Linked DNA regions of Caenorhabditis elegans. The protein of the gene in region 1 interacts with the protein of each later gene in a pairwise test. Each region holds a gene or a part of one and is shown on either strand. Other genes may lie near its edges.

The links.
Region 2: the proteins of nrfl-1 (region 1) and erm-1 interact in a two-hybrid assay, tested with the Caenorhabditis elegans proteins (2 studies listed by BioGRID).

What each region holds. Positions count from the first base shown.
Region 1 is NC_003282.8:9,118,388-9,126,266, forward strand, and holds the start of nrfl-1 (Na(+)/H(+) exchange regulatory cofactor-like protein nrfl-1), read left to right. Parts: upstream 1-2,984; 5' UTR 2,985-3,093; coding exon 3,094-3,873; intron 3,874-4,890; exon of another isoform or gene 4,891-5,291; intron 5,292-5,417; exon of another isoform or gene 5,418-5,489; intron 5,490-6,418; coding exon of another isoform or gene 6,419-6,436; intron 6,437-7,879. UniProt on the Caenorhabditis elegans protein: Scaffold protein that connects plasma membrane proteins with members of the ezrin/moesin/radixin family and thereby helps to link them to the actin cytoskeleton and to regulate their surface expression.
Region 2 is NC_003279.8:5,282,868-5,293,955, reverse strand, and holds erm-1 (Moesin/ezrin/radixin homolog 1), read left to right. Parts: upstream 1-3,261; 5' UTR 3,262-3,320; coding exon 3,321-3,338; intron 3,339-3,437; coding exon 3,438-3,521; intron 3,522-3,762; coding exon 3,763-3,963; intron 3,964-5,637; coding exon 5,638-5,792; intron 5,793-6,114; coding exon 6,115-6,274; intron 6,275-6,322; coding exon 6,323-6,505; intron 6,506-7,244; coding exon 7,245-7,424; intron 7,425-7,506; coding exon 7,507-7,854; intron 7,855-8,387; coding exon 8,388-8,493; intron 8,494-8,570; coding exon 8,571-8,737; intron 8,738-9,265; coding exon 9,266-9,358; 3' UTR 9,359-9,894; downstream 9,895-11,088. Other genes in the region: dnj-4 (J domain-containing protein), read left to right, coding at 10,030-10,082, 10,143-10,251, 10,332-10,408, 10,452-10,568, 10,617-10,766, 11,049-11,088.

The DNA of each region.
Region 1 (7,879 bases):
TTCTCAGTCACTCACTGCTCCCCTCTCTCTCGTTTTCTGCCACTGTTCAAACTTTTTCCACGTGTGTCTGTTTCACGTGGAAGTTTCAAGAACAGTGTTCTCACACACTTCTCTTCTACAACTATTTCACATCTTTTTGGCGCAAATACAAAAGCTTGTCGGACAGATAGTTGTCGGTCTGCGGCGCCGATGTGGAGAGTTGCCAGCATTTTCGAAAAAATGCCGAAGTGATAAGAGATTGTGTCCTCTTTTCACTCTACGGCACCCGGCATAATCACCACCTCTTACACGCTCTTTTTCTACCCCCTATTCCCTACATTTTGTCACTTTTTTCTCGCTTTTTCCATGTCGAACAACGTTTTCCATGTTTCCGATCGTAAATTCTACCAAATCTTGAGTAGGTCTGGATTTCTCAGCATTCTCCTTACTGTTCAGATTCATGTCACTTTTTCTGTTGTTTTCTTGCTCATATTCTTTTGTCAAATTTTTGAAATTCCTAAACTTTTATTTTATATTTCTCTGAACATCAGTTTGAGAAATTTCCTGTGACTCATTTTCCCAGAACCTATTTTATGAACTCTCGAAAAATGTTATTTATTCTGATAAATAGTGTATCGTAGCAATGAATCACAAATAAATAAATTTTCTATTGTTTTTCAGTTTTTCTCGCATTTTTGGAATGTTCCCATTTCTAATTTTTACATTTTTAGCCATGGTGCACATTCCGAGCGACGTGACTCCTCCAAGACTTTGTGTCGTTGAGAAGTTGAATGGAGAGAATGTAAGTGATTCAAATGTTTGAAACAGAATTGTATATGTTCTCTCTTCTATAAGTAAACGTTTTGGAATATTGTTATTTTACTATTAATACCCTCACAAATTGGAAAAAAAGTATGCAGTTCAGCCTGAGTTGTAACGCATGGAACTTTTTGAATCTGATAATTTTTCAGGCAACACGTGATGTAAATTGGAGTTTAAATAGTGTGTTATCTATAGTTTAAATTCCCATATATGTATGTTCAAAAACATTTAATTTCAGGAATATGGCTACAACTTGCACGCCGAGAAGGGACGTGGACAGTTCGTTGGTACCGTCGATCCGGATAGTCCTGCTGAGAGGTAAACATTTTTATTTTTGATATTGATGGACAATATTCATTGACAAATACATATATCAATTAAAAACCAATAATAAATTATTGAGTTTCAAAAATCTCTCAATACTAAAATGCTATGAAGGCTTTCACAGTTAGTCCATTTTCTCTGGTCAGCTCTGAAAATTGTAGAATATTTTAAAGTATTGGCATTGTCGGAGAAGAAACTGCAATTTTTGTTTCTATTTTACCAATTGTTTAAATATTTTCAGAGGAGGATTAATCACTGGTGACCGAATCTTTGCTGTCAATGGTCACTCGATTATTGGAGAAAATCACAAGAAGGTGGTTGAGCGCATAAAAGCAAATCCAAATCGATGTGAAATGCTTGTGATCTCTGAAGAAGGAGCTAAGTGGTACAATGAAAATAATGTTCAAATCACATTGGACCTTCCAAATATCGAACGAGTTTCTCCAATGGTTAGTCAAAATGTAGATTTTATCTTTACAAAATTAAAAAAAACAATTTTGTGTGACTTTTCTCATTCTCCTAACTTTATTTTAAATTCTAAAATTTTTAACATGTAAGATAAAAAAGTCTTCATTGTCGTGAAGAATGCAATATTCGTTTTTGACAGTAAAATTAGAAACATTTTCCATTTGTCTTATTTCCCTTTGTTGCGCCTAAAATCCCTTATGTTACCAATTGTCAGAGGAACTCCTGTCATCCGTCCAACAATTCTCCCCCGCCAAGTTCGTGGTACGCACCCACGTCATATTCACAGGTCAGTCTTTTTGCCTTTTCACATAATTTTCTCCTTTCTCCACTTTGTTTATTCCTCATTGTTATTTTGTAATTTTCAAACAGTATCGAATATCAAATAGTATAGCTGTAGTTGCTCATTGAGCATCATTTGTTTATTTGACACCTCTAGTTGCACTTGATCAACCGAACTTCGTATATCTACTGAGTCACACTGAACCATTTTTATGCGTCATTTTCATATGTTCTCACACTAAAAAAGGATTGACAAATATTTCGAGGTAGATAGACAGGGAGTCGATAGACAAGAAATGACGTCATTTTAGATGAAAGTTATAGGAACAATGAAAATTAAAAATTGGTAATTGAACCTGGGGAAATTGGAATTAACATTATTAATGGCTATGCAATTTTAGAACTGAAATTTTTAAAAAGTTATACAATATCCGATCTCAAATGAAGAAATGGAAATAAAAATTCTTGCAAAAAAATTGAATAATTTTTTTCTGTTTCATAAATAGTTAAAAGACTTATTCATAAATTTCAAAAATTCGGGAATTGCCTTTTCCGCACAAAAAATGTTTCCTCATTAAGGAAAACCCGTGGTTGGTTTGGAGACTATCTTGAAATTGTAATGCACATATTCTGTCATTCGATGATGCTTTATATAGTTTAGGCGATTGAAATCTGATTAAAACTTTTCTTTAGAACTCCATAAAAATATTTGATTTATTGCAAAAGTTTTGTAAACTTTTCTAAGTTCCTTGTAATATCTAAGTATTGCTAAGACATCATTTCTAGTCATCCACTTGTACTTTCTCTCCTCCAATTTTTGATTTACAATCTGATTCTCCATGCACTCCAAGACGTTCTCAACCATTATTCTTCAAACGGAACAACTTTTCGATGATTCTCGAATCGATGAAGAAACGGACGACACAATAGCGTTGGTTTTGTGTGTGTGTGCCTGTTTTGTATGTTAATATTCAATAAAAATATGAAGAAGATGGAAAAAGACGGGGCAAAGAATTTATGGGCCAAACCATACATATTCTATGCATTGAGGCACGAAGAGGGACAAAAAAGTTATATATCTTGACAAACAAAGGAATACCAAAAAGGCACTTTTGTTTGATTCACATTCCTTGGCTCTTCGGCACATCACTACAGTATTCTCAACTCTTATTCTCAGCTAAGAAATTTCAATTCTAAATCTGCATATTGCCTTCTTCAAACATGGATCGCAATCCATCTGAACCAGAAAGAATAGATTGGAAAAACCCAATCACGTGGATTTCGTATCTCTACACCTCTTTCGTGTACTATTTGTGGTTGATCTCCTCGCATCTACCACATCTCCCACAACCACAACGGATTACCGATGACAAATCAACGGAGCAGATCACCAGAGACGCAGGTATTCCGCGCACTGAGATAGTAACACGAGGAGATGCTACGCAGACAGTTAGACAAGTAGCGGGTCTAGGGGACCCAGCGCCAAAGGATTCATCATTATTGCCTCCCTCTTCGTCGTTCGTCTATTGCAACAACTGTCTAACACCTCATTCGTCTCAGAGGACTTGTTCTCCAGCCTACGTCTCTACTCTCTCAAGACAAAAGTCTTTGACGTTGCTAAAGAAATTGAAGAAACCCTCATCATCTGCTTCTTCCACCACTACCACCACATCATCGACTGTATCTTTCCGTGCACCTTCACGTGCATCATCAACGATCTCCGACGCTTCTACCATCCGCCCATCTGAACTCATTGCTATCGTTCCATCTGGTAGCCACGTGTTGCTGCGAGTTCCGAAACTTGATTGGAAAACTGAATCAATTCGAATCAAAAGAACTAGAATGAGTGATTGGATGGATGCGGAGCAACGGGATGTGATGAGACAATTTGATGAAGTTATAAGATCAGAAGAAGAAGACGAGAGGACCTCACGAAAAAGGAACGGAATCTTCAAAGATGGATCTGTAAGGAGTATTGAATCATTGGAATCTAGGAGTCGGGTGAGCACACGTTGTGATTTTGAAATATCGACTCAAAAATAAAACTTCTTTCTAACAATTATAAATTTAAAAGTTAGAGAATTATCTATTAGTATTGCACCCCCTTACTGTAGGCAGCTCATAACTGATTTTTCATTGATTTTATTATAATTTGACAACTTTCTACTTATAATCTATTTTACTATAATTTTTTAGTTAATAATTTTGTTGATGTCAGCAACTGTCTTTAAAATGAACCGATAGCTCCAAAGAAACGATGGAAAATTATATTTTACGGACCAAAGTTGATCCAAATTTTTTGCTGACAATTGTTCCTGTTTATTCAAAATTTAAAAATTTAAATTACACATTTTTTGGTTTGGGCTATAATTCATCATAAAACCATACTTCTTTAAAACGTGAAATCTCAACTTGTTTTACAGCATTTCAGATAAAATGCACACCGTAGAATTAATTGAAATGGTATTTCAACTGGTTTCTTTTCTTTGTTTTTCATCTTTCCCATACTGGTACGCGTGCCTATCCTTACCCAAATTCTTCAAAAACAATTTGATAAGGATTTCAGTATTTTTTCTTTAAATTGATTAGAGACCAACTTCGCCAAACTATCAATTGGGTACTATGTTTTATAAACTATTCCAACATTTGTTGAGGTATTCGTCATCCTCTTCAACTTTTTTCTTCAATATTTCCATTTTCTCCAAAAAGAATTTCATTTTCATATAAATACGAGTATCATTTCCTCTTCTTCATATTTCTGACTCATCTTTCCTCCATCTTCTCTTGCATACATTTCCAAAAATTTTGCCAACTTGCCAAGTAAACCGCAAACATACGAGAAAACTGTTAAAACTGTGTCTGCACTCTACGCACTCTCTCATTCAGCCTCTTGAAGCTTATGTATGTTTTGTTAAATGTGTGTTGTGGCATTGGCAAGAAAGGAGAGAGAAGGTAGATCATTTTTTATTGAGAAGAAAATGACAATGAAGAAGACAAGTAATAAAAAAATATGTTTAGTGCGAGAGAAACAGAACAAAATGATGATTTATGATCAAAATTGAGACATTAGAAAGTTGGAAGAGGAACTGTAAATTAAATGAGAAAATGGGATACAGAGATATGATAGCAGATAGATTTATGAGGTATTGATACGGAAAATAACATAAATATTGGAAGACTGGCGGACTGGAAATTTGCACAGTTCAATGTTAGGAAGATTGAAATGAGTGTAGAAAAACAACTCAAAGAGGAGTGTAAATTAATCAATAAATAGGTTATTATTTTTGACAATTAACACTTCAATAAATTGTGACATAATTAAAAATATGATGAAACAGAAATAGTTTTGGAAGACTAACGAGTTACCAGCATTCCAGTGTTTAACAGTATATTACAACTCGATGAAACATTCGAAAATTCTAAAATGGAAAATCGATTAAAATTTTTTACTCCTTTAAGAAATCTTGTTCGTAAGCCATATTCTCAGAGAGAACCAAATTCAAAAAAGTTGTCTGACTACAGTAATCCGCAACAATTCCACTTACCTATCATTCGTTACAAATCTTCCTCTTCGTTTCTTTGTCCTTTAATAAATGACCTTCATTTGAATATATCTAATTGGTCCTCCATTAGACACCTTCTTCCAATTGTTTTTTATCCTCCACCTGCCATGTCTTTATTTCAATCTGTCTGTGTCTCGTGCTCTCTCTCTCATTCAATAGAAAGATAGTTAACGAAGCATGACGCATTGGAATATCTTGCTTCACTAAAAGATTGCAACATTCCAATTCTATTAATTTTTACAAAAAACCAACAATCTTCTCCCATTCTTGTCATTTGTCATGTTTAGACACTTTCTCAAGTATTTTACTAATTTTCTTCAAAAAGTACACATTCATCAAACGTTGTATGTTCAATATTCTTTTCCTTCAAACAAACTTTGAATCTCATAAAATGTTTTGTGGTTTCGGAACATGTTAGAAATACAAATAACTTGTCGGAAAACTTTCACAAAACTTGAATTTTATTTCTTGGCATTTCCCAACATTGAAACGCATCTTGTAATCCGATATTTTTGGGACTTGTTTTTTATATTCACTTTTATTCGAAAGAATATCAGAAATAATATACATTAGACTATTTCAAGTGGCGTAGGATATAGGGTTCCTTTTTCCGTCGAAATATTGAAATAGTTCGATTTCGGTTTTTTTTTTGGGTCTCTGAAAGTATTGAAAGTTATAAGATTTTTTACTTAAAAGTACATACTTTTTCGATTTATTCGCTTTAGTTGTTTGAATAACTGTAAAACTATACATAAATTTACAAGTATCCAATCTCCATATGACTCTTGACACCCTGTTGTTGAAATTCAAATCCCTCCGATTATTATTATTAGTCATCATCTTTCTCATAAATCTCTCGGTTTGATTTTATCTTCCCGATATATTTTCAATTCAACTATCCAACATCTCACTTTTCTTGCATTTCTAAATTATTAAAAATTTACATTTTTGTGAATTCCATTGATAAAAGAAAACTATTCAAAATGCATTTTATTGATAAGGTGAGGATATGCGTTAAATTTTATGGTTTTAATGTTTTTAAAACTCATAGATTTTTTAAAAGTCAGCTTTCAAAATTGTGATATGCGGAATCTGAGTAATTGCCAAAAGTTTTGCTATGATATTTGTCATTTCAGTATAATAAAAGTGGTTTTCAACCTTTTCCCCACTGTGCTTGTAAACATATATTTTGGTTTAGCACAAGGTGGTTGACTTTTTTTAATTTGGTAGAAACACATTTTTGGACCCCACTACGGCGATTGTCACAAGGTATCGGGTACTTCATCATTGAAAATTCAGGATTTGTACTGTTCCCCTTCAATTCATTGTCAATATGTTTTTGATCACTTTACCACAAAAAAGATCACAAAAGAGTAATGGCAAATGTCCAACAATTTCCTCTAACCAGCCGCTCTTTTTCTTTCTCACCCCGAATGGTCAACCTTGTTGGGTCCAAACAATTGAAAACAACGTCGGAAACGTGTACCTTTCGGTTCTGCTGTAGGGATTGTTGTTTGTCGGTACTGTATGCTGTTTGGCAAGGTGTGCAAATAAAGAAGATGAGAGGGAGAGAAAGATAGCTCATTGAGCACAGAAGACTGATTGAGAGAGAGTACTGACTTTGTAGAGATGTGAATCATTTGGAATATGTACTGATTCATGGATAAGATTTTCGTGTTTTTGTGTGCTTTAAGGTGCGCCTGTTTTGATTTTTTGGAGCTCTTCATGGCTTTCAGTATGACAATATAAAAATTGCTCAAACTTTTGACAATTTTAAAATTAATTTCTCAGGTCTGTAAGGGAACACTAAATCAATTTTCCGGAAAGAACATTTTTCAAATTCGAACATTCGAAAATGAAGTTTTTATCACAAAACACATGGTCAGAACACTTTTTTGCAAGCGTTATTTCTTAGTGATATATGGTTGGATAGTCACATACTTATAATCCTCTTCTTCTTCTTTTTCATTTCAATATATGTTCCTAGTAATGTTCAATTCCAAGATTTCCTTCTCATCCATTGTTGTTATTATACTTCCTTTCTCGACATGGTTGTCCTTGGCCCTTCGTCTTCTACCACTTTTTATTATATTCATTCGATTTTCTTTTTTTCTCCTAGTTCTTCTTCCAAGTTTTTTGTCGTTTTTCAACTATTTTTACTGATTGACTTTTTGCTAGTATAGAAGTATTTTCATTAAGAAAAAAGTTTTCTGTATGTACACAAATTGAAGCGTATTCAAGAATCATTCTACCCTTCTGATTGTTCCCTATCTTGAAAAGTGTGAATACTGCGCAAAAATATTCAAATTTCTATTTTTAAATAATGAAAGATCAACACCACAACTCGTTCTTTCACCTTGTTAGCCTCTATTTTCCCACTTTCTTTCTTCTTTTCTGCTCTAGACGTTGCTATGAGCAACCTAATATTTTGATGAACTAGTGTT
Region 2 (11,088 bases), on another chromosome or scaffold:
ATTCAGAACTTCTACTACCCGTTATTATTCATTCTCTCATAATATACAATTGTGCAATGCAAAAACACCATAACCTCCCACATAACTAAACAAACATATATGCATAATGAATCATATAGATATAGAGTTTTTTCTCTGTTTTTTTATTATTATTTTCGCATTCCAAAATACACCTACACCTAACCTTATAACTTGTTTTAGTTTTAAGGTAAGGAAGCCTGCTGTATTTTCTGTTTGATACGTTATATAGGCATAGGGGACGTGCCAAATTATTTTTGAAACTTCAAGAAAATCAAATTCGAGTGTCAGCAATCACTCTAAAGACACATCTGCCAAATTTAGACAGTTTATATTTTCTCGCACCTGGCTTTCGAGATTTTTAATTTATTGCAGCTGGAGAATATGGAAATATGCGAGGTTTTCTGGAAATTTTGGAACTAAAAACATAACAATTTAATTTCTCCAAAGCCCAGGGAAAAAAGTTTTTTTGACAAAAAAAACAGCCCAGAATTGATAACTATTTTTCAATATTTCTGCTTTAAAATATATTTTTTAAATTATATTTTCTGTATTGCAGCTGATCTATTAATTTATAGATTAGTAGATTATCTGCAATGCATAAAACTAATAAGTTAGATTCTATTGATGTTCTTCTTTTCTGAAAATATCTGAAGTGTCATCTTCCGCCTACTACACACAATCCATCGTCACCTAGTCATACAGCAAACATTTCCAAACTTTTATTACAACGTTCGTTTCGTTCGTTTCTTCAGAAATCAAACCTGAATCGTACTGTGTTGTCTGTTTTTAGCAGTTTACAAAGTTGAGTTAAATCTCTTAGAACTTGTTGAACATTCTTTTTTCTTCTTTAATGCTACACAGACTGAGAAAATTCTGTAAAATCTTACTTTTTCATGAAAGTCAATTGACTTTTGAATCAAGTCAACTATTCCTCTTTTGCTCAACTGAGATCCTGAAAGCTTTCCATAACCTCAGAATTGTTGTGCTCCGTCTGTAAAACGTTATTCTTTCACATTTGCATATTTCTTCCTATCACTTTGCAATAATACTCTGTCAATGTGTGAGAGAGAAAGGTGTCTCACTGACACATACAAACGACACATTCAAACTTATTTACATAGTACTGTATTCATATTTTATATATATTCAAATGCAGTTGAGAATAGAGAATAAACCTTTCATTTCTTCTTGTTGTACTCGGTTCGTAGTTTCAGATCATTTTGATCGAACCGCTTTTTTCTGTGAACAAGTATTTTCCAATAGGTGTTTTTTTGCTGTTTTCATTCTCCTTACGGAAGTTTTTATATTGAATCTTTACTTTCCTTATTTTTCCAGTTAATTTTTCAAAATTATCAAAAATTTAGCGAATTGTCTCGAACTTCTTGGAATTTTTTCCGTACTGTTCTAATACGGTATCCAGCTGAAAATTTAAGCCAGTTTGTGTGCTTTATTGGCTTTTTCCATCAAATTTTTTGTTGTCATGTTATCTCAACATTTTTCAAAATTAGTGTTAAAATATCGAAAAATTACTTGATTCGTCTGAAAATAAACTTCAATTTAGCTAAAACATTTAAGAAAGCTTTTAAAAATGGCCTGAAAATTGCCAGTATCCGATTATCGAATTATCAGATTTTTTGTCTAACAATTTGCAACTTTCCCACCGATTTTGAGCATTTCTTCAAATGTTTCAGCTAAAAATATGTTTCATTTCCAGATAAATCGAGTGATTTTCGATATTTTGACACTAATTTTTAGTGAAAAACGTTGGAACAACATAGCCCAATAATTTTGTAGAATTGCCGGAAATAATAGCCCTGTACCTGTAAATCAAAATCAATATTCCCACCTGTGACACATATTTTTCTGAATAATTTTTTGATTCATGAAACTTTTTCTTTAAAATAATTAAAGCATTAAAAAAAACTCAAACTCGCCAAAACTCCCAAGAAACTGTCCAGGCACCCGAGAATCGCGCCAACGCCCTGCTGGCGCGATTCTCGTGCAGTGGCAAATCGCAGAACGCGCCAAAAACGGATCCGAACGGGTTTGAATCAGACGATGACTCATTTTTTATTGTTTTTCGAGTTTTATTGATTTTTTTTAATCGCCAAATGTATAAATCCCCCTAAAATATACACAATTTTCCATGTGTCACTTTGAATTTTCGGATAAATGATTGAAAAATTAGATTTCTCTATTCAAAATTTAAAATTCATAACCTTGAACTCATTTGTTTCGTTTTCTTCGCTCCGTTTTCTGATTTCTCATGAATTTTTGAAATCTCTGTTCATTCGAATTCTATTTTCACATCTTATTTTACTTTCTTGCAGAAAAAAGTGACGAAGATTTTCGGTGGAAAAGTTTCGTGAATTCTCACCGCTCACCCCAATCCATCTTCGACTCGGACATCAAAAAGAGCTAAAATAATGTCGAAAAAAGCGGTAAGTTTGAAAAATGTAGCTTCAAATAATTTAAAACTTTTACGGCCAAATAAAAAAAAACACTGTTTAAATTTGCGATTTTCTTATTTCTTTCGGAAAAAATGCCGCCATTAATTAAAAACAAATGGAAAAAATTTGAAACTGTGAAATGTTGAATATTTCGGAAATTATGTTCTGTTCAGCACGACTTCTGCCGATTTTTTTAAAAAATAAGAATCTATCGATCTAAAAATATACTCTGTATTTTATTTTTCACTTATAAGACTATAAAGAGGCATATTTCTGCAAAATGGACTCATTTTTGAGGTTTTGTTGAAATTTTCGAAAATAGAGGGTTTCAATACCATTTTGCATAAATGCGCCTCTTTTTAAACATATAAGTGGGAAATAAAATACAAAACATATATTTTTTACAAAATTAATTTAAAAAATTTTAGAAAACAATTCAGATTTTTACGCTTACGAAGTAGAGCCGCGAACAATTTTGAACTCGAAATAAACTCAAAATTGATGATATTTGAAATATCATTTCATTCTTTTTTTTTCTGCCGAAACTTCTATGAAGAAATGCGCACATGTATGTGTGCAAACCGACAAATAGGCGGAGCCTGTACAAAAACGGGCGGTCTATAGTTCTTCTCACTCCGTTTTTGTGCTGTATACAGGGAGAGAGAGTGACAACTCATATCATTTAGTTTTAGATAAGAATTTTAAATTCTCAAGTTTCACTCTTTTTTTTATTTTGAATTTCTGATTTTCATGCAAGATTTCTTATATCATTTTACTGAAAAATTTTAAGCTAACCTCTTCATATCAATTGGTCCAGCAGTTCAAACTTGTGGAACACAAAATAGAAAAATGGTTGCGGCCGGCGATGTAAATTGTTAATTGAAAAAATTTTTTTTAGAAATTTAAGAAAAAATATAACGAAAAATCGATTTTATTTTTGCCTAATCCAACTATTTCTTGTTTCAGATCAATGTGCGTGTCACCTCGATGGACTCGGAGCTCGAGTTCGCTATTCAGTCGAGCACCACAGGAAAGCAACTTTTTGATCAGGTTAGATGATTTTGTTTTATTATATTTAAAAAGTACTTTTTTTATTAAATTGGAGAATGGATAAATTTTAATAATTCAAAAAAAAAATCAGAATTTTCTGAAACATTAAATTTTCACTAACCATTAGAAATTTTAAATCAAAACGATTTAAATTTGAAAAAAATAATCCAAAATTTCCAGCTCTTGAAATTGAGTTTCGAATTTTCCAGCAATATTAATTCCTTCATTTTAATTTTTGCAGGTTGTCAAAACCATTGGTCTCCGCGAGATCTGGTATTTTGGACTTCAGTACACTGACAACAAGGGATTCCCAACATGGCTGAAATTGAACAAGAAAGTCTTGTCTCAGGACGTTAAGAAGGACCCGACTCTTGTTTTCAAATTCCGCGCCAAATTCTATCCGGAAGATGTGGCCGAGGAGATTATCCAGGATGTCACTATGGTATGTTTGACACCTTTTTTTAAATATTTAATTTTTTGGAAAAAAAAAACTGTAAATTTTCCATTACCTCTGGCCAATATTTGATTTTTAGTTGTAATTCTCACTTTTCGCTTTTCTGACATTCTCTGGCGACTCTCTTGATTTCCTGTGCTATTTCTGATTTGTAACTGATAAGTAGAGAATGCCCGTGCCATTTATGCATGTAATGCAATGTTGGCAAGCAATAGGAAATAACTTTGGAGTATATTCAAGAATAGAAAAAAAGGGGAAAATTTTGGTAAGGAATACATTTCTGTGGTTTTAGAGTACCTTCTTACAAGCTGGCCTGCTTAAAAAGACCCCAAAACGACCAAATTTCAAAATGAAATTTCTCAAAAAATGCCCGAAAATGAATTAAAGCAGTGAAAATTCTGAAAAAAATCCGATATTTTTTCTGTTAAAAAAATCCGATATTTTTGCTAAAATTAGAATAAAGTTTTTTATGCCAGTGATAATTCAATAAAATGGCATTCCGATTTAGGAAAATTTGGCTCTTTTTTGAGAATTTTGGCTCGCTATAAAGAATTTTTGAATTTTTTAAACCAGTTTTATTTGAGCAAAAAAAACTCTTCTGCTCAAAAATTTCCACGGCTCATGTGCTCACAAGGTCCTCAATAAACTGCCTAAAAACAAAATATTTTGATGGTGACAAGTGTAAACATGGGCATTTTCTCCCTTCCGTTTCAAAAAAAGGTTCTCCCATTGAGAGTGTGGTTTCCGATTACCTCCGAGCCACTTTTTTGTCTCACACAAAAAGAGATTGTTTAATGGTTTGTAAACATCGATGGGAAGACACTGTGTGTGCGAGACTCTTTTTTTGAGAGGAGAAATGAGCATCCTATTAGAACCTCCGACTGCGAACAGGAAATCTCTGATCTGGGTGGTCTGTTTTGTTTGAATAGGATCACAAGATCAGTTGAAGATTTCAGTAGAATAGCTATTTAGTACCTATATGCAAATTGATTTAGTACCTATATGCAAATTTAGATCAGTTGTTAAAATTAATGTAAAAATTTCTTTTTTTTTTAAATATAGAAAAATACTTTTATTTCTATGAAAATAACATTTTTCAGTTGAAACATTTGAGAAAATGCACAAAAATGGTCTGAAAGTTTCTAATTCACAAAAAAACCTTTTTTGAGCACTTTCTCAAATGATTCAAAAATATAAATATCACTTCCGGTTAAGTAAATTGATTTTTTCTCTTTTTTTTAGATTTCCAATAATATTTCGCATTTGAATTTGAATAGATAGACTGACTTAAATTCTGTTCCGATGACTCATATCAATGGAAACAATGAAAAAACTCTCAGTTTGTTGCTGTCTCTTTGCTCTTTTTATATTCATGTTCATAACTGACATAAAGAGGAAGAGGAGAATGGCATGTGTGAATAATCAAAAAATGATTCAAAACGATAAATATGAGGGGAAGAGAATATAAATTGAACTTTTTGCAAAATTTGCAGAATTTTTTGTTTGGAAGAGGGAACAATTGGGTTTCAGAATCATTAGTTGAAAATGGAGTATGGTTTTTTAAAATGTCAGAAAACAATCTCAATGTACAGAACATACAGTTAAAAAATTATGAAGTTTTTTAACTGAAATTAAGCCTTAATTAAATGAAAATATTTTCAGCGTTTGTTCTATCTCCAAGTGAAAGATGGAATTCTGTCAGATGAGATTTATTGTCCACCGGAAACCTCTGTTCTTCTTGCCTCTTACGCGATGCAAGCTAAATATGGAGACTATGTTCCAGAGACACATGTCGCCGGATGTCTTACTGCTGATCGGTGAGTTTTTCTTGAAATTAGCTTTTAAAAAAATTATTAATAACTATTAAAAAATATCTTTGCGGTTCAAAATTCCAATCAAGATTACTAAAATAAGAAAAATAATAATTTTCTGCGATAATTCATTTTTAATTATGTAGTGAAATTTCACAGTATCACAGTACTCATACAATTCATAATTATCACATGAAAATGAGATTAGAATAAAGAAGGGAAAGTTCCAGATCTAGATGATCAATAAAAAAGTATATAATAAGAAGTAGTTAAAAAAAAGTAAACTTTTTATATTAAATGCCAAAAATAATTAATTATTTCATTCCAGTCTGCTTCCTCAACGCGTTCTCGGACAATTCAAATTGAACAGTGAGGAATGGGAACGCCGTATTATGACATGGTGGGCAGATCATCGTGCAACTACACGTGAACAAGCTATGCTTGAATATTTGAAAATTGCACAAGATCTCGAGATGTATGGAGTCAATGTACTGTTTCTCATTTTTCTGTCGAGTTTTAAAAAAAGCTAATTTCAGTACTTTGAAATCCGCAACAAAAAGGGAACTGATCTCTATCTTGGTGTCGATGCTCTTGGATTGAATATTTACGATAAAGCTGATCGTCTTTCGCCGAAAGTCGGATTCCCATGGTCGGAGATTCGTAATATATCATTCAACGACAAGAAATTTGTCATCAAACCAATTGATAAGAAGGCTCATGTAAGTGATTACTGTCACACACAGTTTGTCGTGGCATCAAGCTTCTATTTGTTGGCAAAATTTCTGCGGAAAAAACGGAAAAATTGTGTGATAGTAGTTGGAAGTGGTGGTGATAAGAAGCAATCGATGGAACATTGAATTTTGATTTAAAATTTTTTTGTTGGTTTTTCTTATTTTTGGGGTGTGAAAATATCACAATCATTGACCAGATGCGGAATGTTGCGATTTTGAGGCAAAAGTATGGTGCCCGGTCTCGGTCTCGACACGACCGAATAAATTTATTTACCAAAATGGTGTGCACCTTTAAAAAGTAGAGTAGCTCCAGGCCTTTCTGATTTCCAACTTCGTTAGATTTTTCTAGTTTATTAATTAATAAAAATTAGTTTCACTAACAAAAGTAAAATAAAAGGTTTTTACAATAAAAATATTTAGAAAAAATCTATGAAAATTTCAAATCAGCTCAACGGTAACTACTGTACTTTTTAAATGCGCACATCCTTTTTCATTTAAATTTATTCGATCGCCTCGATATCGAGTAATGTGTTTTTGTATCAAAAATCGCAAATTTCGAGATGGATGGAACATTTTGTGGAAATTGAGTTTGTTGTAATTTTTCTGAACATTTTTTCCCCGATTTTTTGATTTTAGAAAAATCGAAAAAAAATTCTTATTTTCGCTGAAAAAAAAATCGAAAAAATGTTTTTCATTATTCGTCTTCATTTTTATCATTAATTTTCAGGACTTTGTCTTCTACGCTCCACGACTCCGTATCAACAAACGTATTCTTGCTTTGTGTATGGGAAATCACGAGCTTTACATGCGTAGAAGAAAGCCAGATACCATTGAAGTTCAACAAATGAAGCAACAAGCCAGAGAGGATCGTGCTCTTAAGATTGCCGAGCAGGAGAAGCTCACCAGAGTAAGTTGCGGAAATTTTTGAAACATGTTTTTACAAATAATTTCTAAAAAAACTTTCACTCAAATCTGTTTTGATCGTACAGGAGATGTCTGCTCGCGAAGAAGCCGAACAGCGTCAACGTGACGCCGAAAAGCGTATGGCTCAAATGCAGGAAGATATGGAGAGAGCTCGTCTTGAATTGGCTGAAGCACACAATACAATTCACTCATTGGAGGCTCAACTCAAGCAATTGCAATTGGCTAAACAAGCATTGGAACAGAAGGAATACGAACTTCGTGAGCTCACTGCTCAACTTCAATCCGAAAAAGCAATGAGTGATGGTGAGAGACGTCATTTGAGAGACCAAGTTGATGCTCGTGAACGTGAAGTTTTTTCGATGAGAGAAGAAGTCGAGAGACAGACTACTGTTACAAGACAACTTCAGACACAGGTATTTTTTATTTTTGAAACTAAAATAGAAACAAAAAATTCTCTTTAAAAAAATTATTTTAAATACCGTATTAACAATTATCGAGCAGTAATTTTCAGTCTGAAATTACTGTTTTAAAATTTTAAAATGAAAAAAAGTATGCAGTAATTCCTGAAATTAGTTGATTACTGTAACAAAAAAGCTTAATTTAAAAAAAAAATTTGCAACAATAAAAGAGATACAAAAAGAAAAAACTAAAAAAAATTGTGAAAGAATAAAAAATCCGATCTTTAAAAGCGAGATTTTTTAATTGTACGCAGTGATGTTGCAACAAAAATTTCGGCCAAAAAACAAACAAATTTTGTTTAAAATTTCTCCAAAAAACCAACAAAAAAAAACAAAAATGTTCATTTTTCGTCATACCAACTAAAACATAAAATTTTTGATAAACATTTTTTTAAATGTTTTCTTGTCCGAAAAAACCAAAAAAAACGGAATCCCTGATTGTAACTCTGGATTTATTTTATTTCAAAATTATTTTTTCTTAAATTCAGATTCACTCGCAACAACACACTCAACACTACTCAAACAGTCATCACGTTTCCAATGGACACGCTCACGATGAGACTGCCACTGATGATGAAGATAATGGAGCAACTGGTATGCCTTTTTTATTTATTTAAAATAATTGGGAGAGATTATGAGAAAAAATATCATCTTCAAATTTTATCTTCCAGAACTCACAAATGACGCTGATCAGAATGTGCCACAACACGAGTTGGAGCGTGTCACAGCAGCCGAGAAGAACATTCAGATCAAGAATAAGCTGGATATGTTGACTCGCGAGCTTGACAGTGTTAAAGATCAGAACGCTGTCACTGACTACGACGTTCTGCATATGGAGGTTCGTATTTTAAAAAAACTCGTTTTAATGGATGGTTTTAGAGAATTTAGCATTCAAAATTTACAGTAATTTTCTAGAACCTGCATTTTTTTCATAAATTCAAGTTTTAAAAAATATTTCCGGACTGCGATCAAAATACAATTTTTTAAAAATTAAATTTGGAAAAAAACAGAAGAACGCAAAAATCTTTAAAAAATATCGAGTTCCGGATTATTTTAAAATAAAAAAAATCATTAAAAATCATTAAAAAGCCATTAAAAACAAATTTTGCTTAAAAATAATTTTATGATATTAAAATTGTTTGAAGTACAGAAATTGAGTTTTTTCGGTGTTTTCTGTTTGCAGACAAACCGAAAACATTTCTGAAAACATTCCAAACTCGGTATTTCCTTTACGGAAACAAGCAACATAAATTTTACTTATTTTTGAACAAGTTTGACCCTAAATTTTTTAGATTTTTTGAGCGAAACCGAAATATCGAAAAACCGAAAAACCTGCCGGCCCGATTCCAAATTTTTAAATTTTCAGAACAAAAAGGCCGGACGCGACAAGTACAAGACTCTCCGTCAAATCCGTGGAGGAAACACAAAACGAAGAATCGATCAATACGAAAATATGTAATTATTTGTTCTATCGTATTTCCTTTTATTTTTTTAAACAATATTCTCAATTGTCTCCCACCAACTTCCAAATGCTCATCATCTTGGCTCTTTTCTCCCTTTCTCGTTTTTTTTATAGGACAACAATTATTATTATTATTAATTTGAAAATTTATTGGTTTGTTCCGATTCACTTCCTTGTTCACCCCATCAGTGCCTTTTACAATATTATCCGAAATTTGTTTTCTTCCAAAAAATGCTCGGTTTCTCTATTCCCCTCTTCTTGTATTCGTCATATCCAATTTTTCAAGTAACTTGTTAAATCCGCCGCCAAAAAACCCCGAATTTCTCGCGCAAAGACTTCAAATTCTACGCTTTTCCCCTCTCTCTCCCCATCAAACTCTCGACATCCCCCTGAAAATGTTTATCTATTTTATTTTATTAATTATGATATTATTCAAATCTAAATATTCGACTCTTCTATTTTCCCATTTATGCGTTGTTTAAACACAGTTATTCAACTATGACTCATGATATTATGATAAATATGAATACGTGACATGTGAAAGAAAAGACTAAAAGGATTAATTGTTGGAACAATGGGGATATATGAAACAAAAAAAAATTAAATTATATTGCATATTTTTAATTGCTAGAAAATGATAATCATTTTAGAAGTAGAAGAGTTTTCAAATGCTCCAAGGGTTTCGATGGAGCCCTCACGGTTTTTGGGTTTGCCAAGCAAGGTGATTTTTGAATAATTGAGAATTTAATTTCACAGAAATAAAAAATAGTAAAATTTCCAGGTTCTTCAACAAAAAAATCCGTCAGCGAACACATTACGAAGTGCTCGGTGTTGAAAGCACGGCGACACTTTCTGAAATTAAATCTGCATTTTATGCACAATCGAAAAAAGTGAGGAATTTCCGAAAATAACCAAAAAACAAACATTTTTAATCAATTTTTCGTGAAAATTTGTCGAAGTTTTCTTCCAGGTCCATCCTGACAACTCATCCGAAGAATCTGCAACAGCTAGCTTCTTGGAACTCAAAAATGCATATGATGTGCTCAGGTTTTTAAAATTCGGATTTTTAGATTAAACTGATATATTTCAGAAGACCAGCTGATCGTCGACTTTATGATTATCAATTGAGAGGTGGTGGTGGAAGATATCCGAATGGAGGACAACGATATCAATATCCGAATACAGCTCCACAATATGATTTTAGTCGGTTCGTAATAAAATATAAATATTCTTTCTGAATTTCAAATATTCTCAGAGACTGGTCCACGTATTGGAGTCAGAATCCGGATAACTCCCGGTCGAGTCGTGAAGAACGAGATAAATCTTCAAGAGAATTTATGAAATCAATTGTTAAATGGACTGCCATTGGTTTAGTACTTGTTGCTGGATATAATGGAGGATATTTGTATGTTTTATTGAAAATTGCAATTTCACGAAAGCTGCATGCGTTTTTAAACAAGCTTCTCGTATAACACGGCCATTCTGAGCTCGTGTACTCCCCGCGGAAAAGTGATAATTTTGCAGAGCAGTCTACAATTTTTGGCAAAAAAAAATTAGAGATAACATTATATGGAGTTTTTTAACAGTAAATTCAAGAGTTTCAGTCAAAAACATGTGTGCTTCTCCTCGGGGAGTTCACGAGCTCCGTAAATCGAAAAATTATTGTCAGAGTTTTAAAAAATTGCAGATATCTTCTGGCTTATAATCAAAAGCAACTAGACAAATTA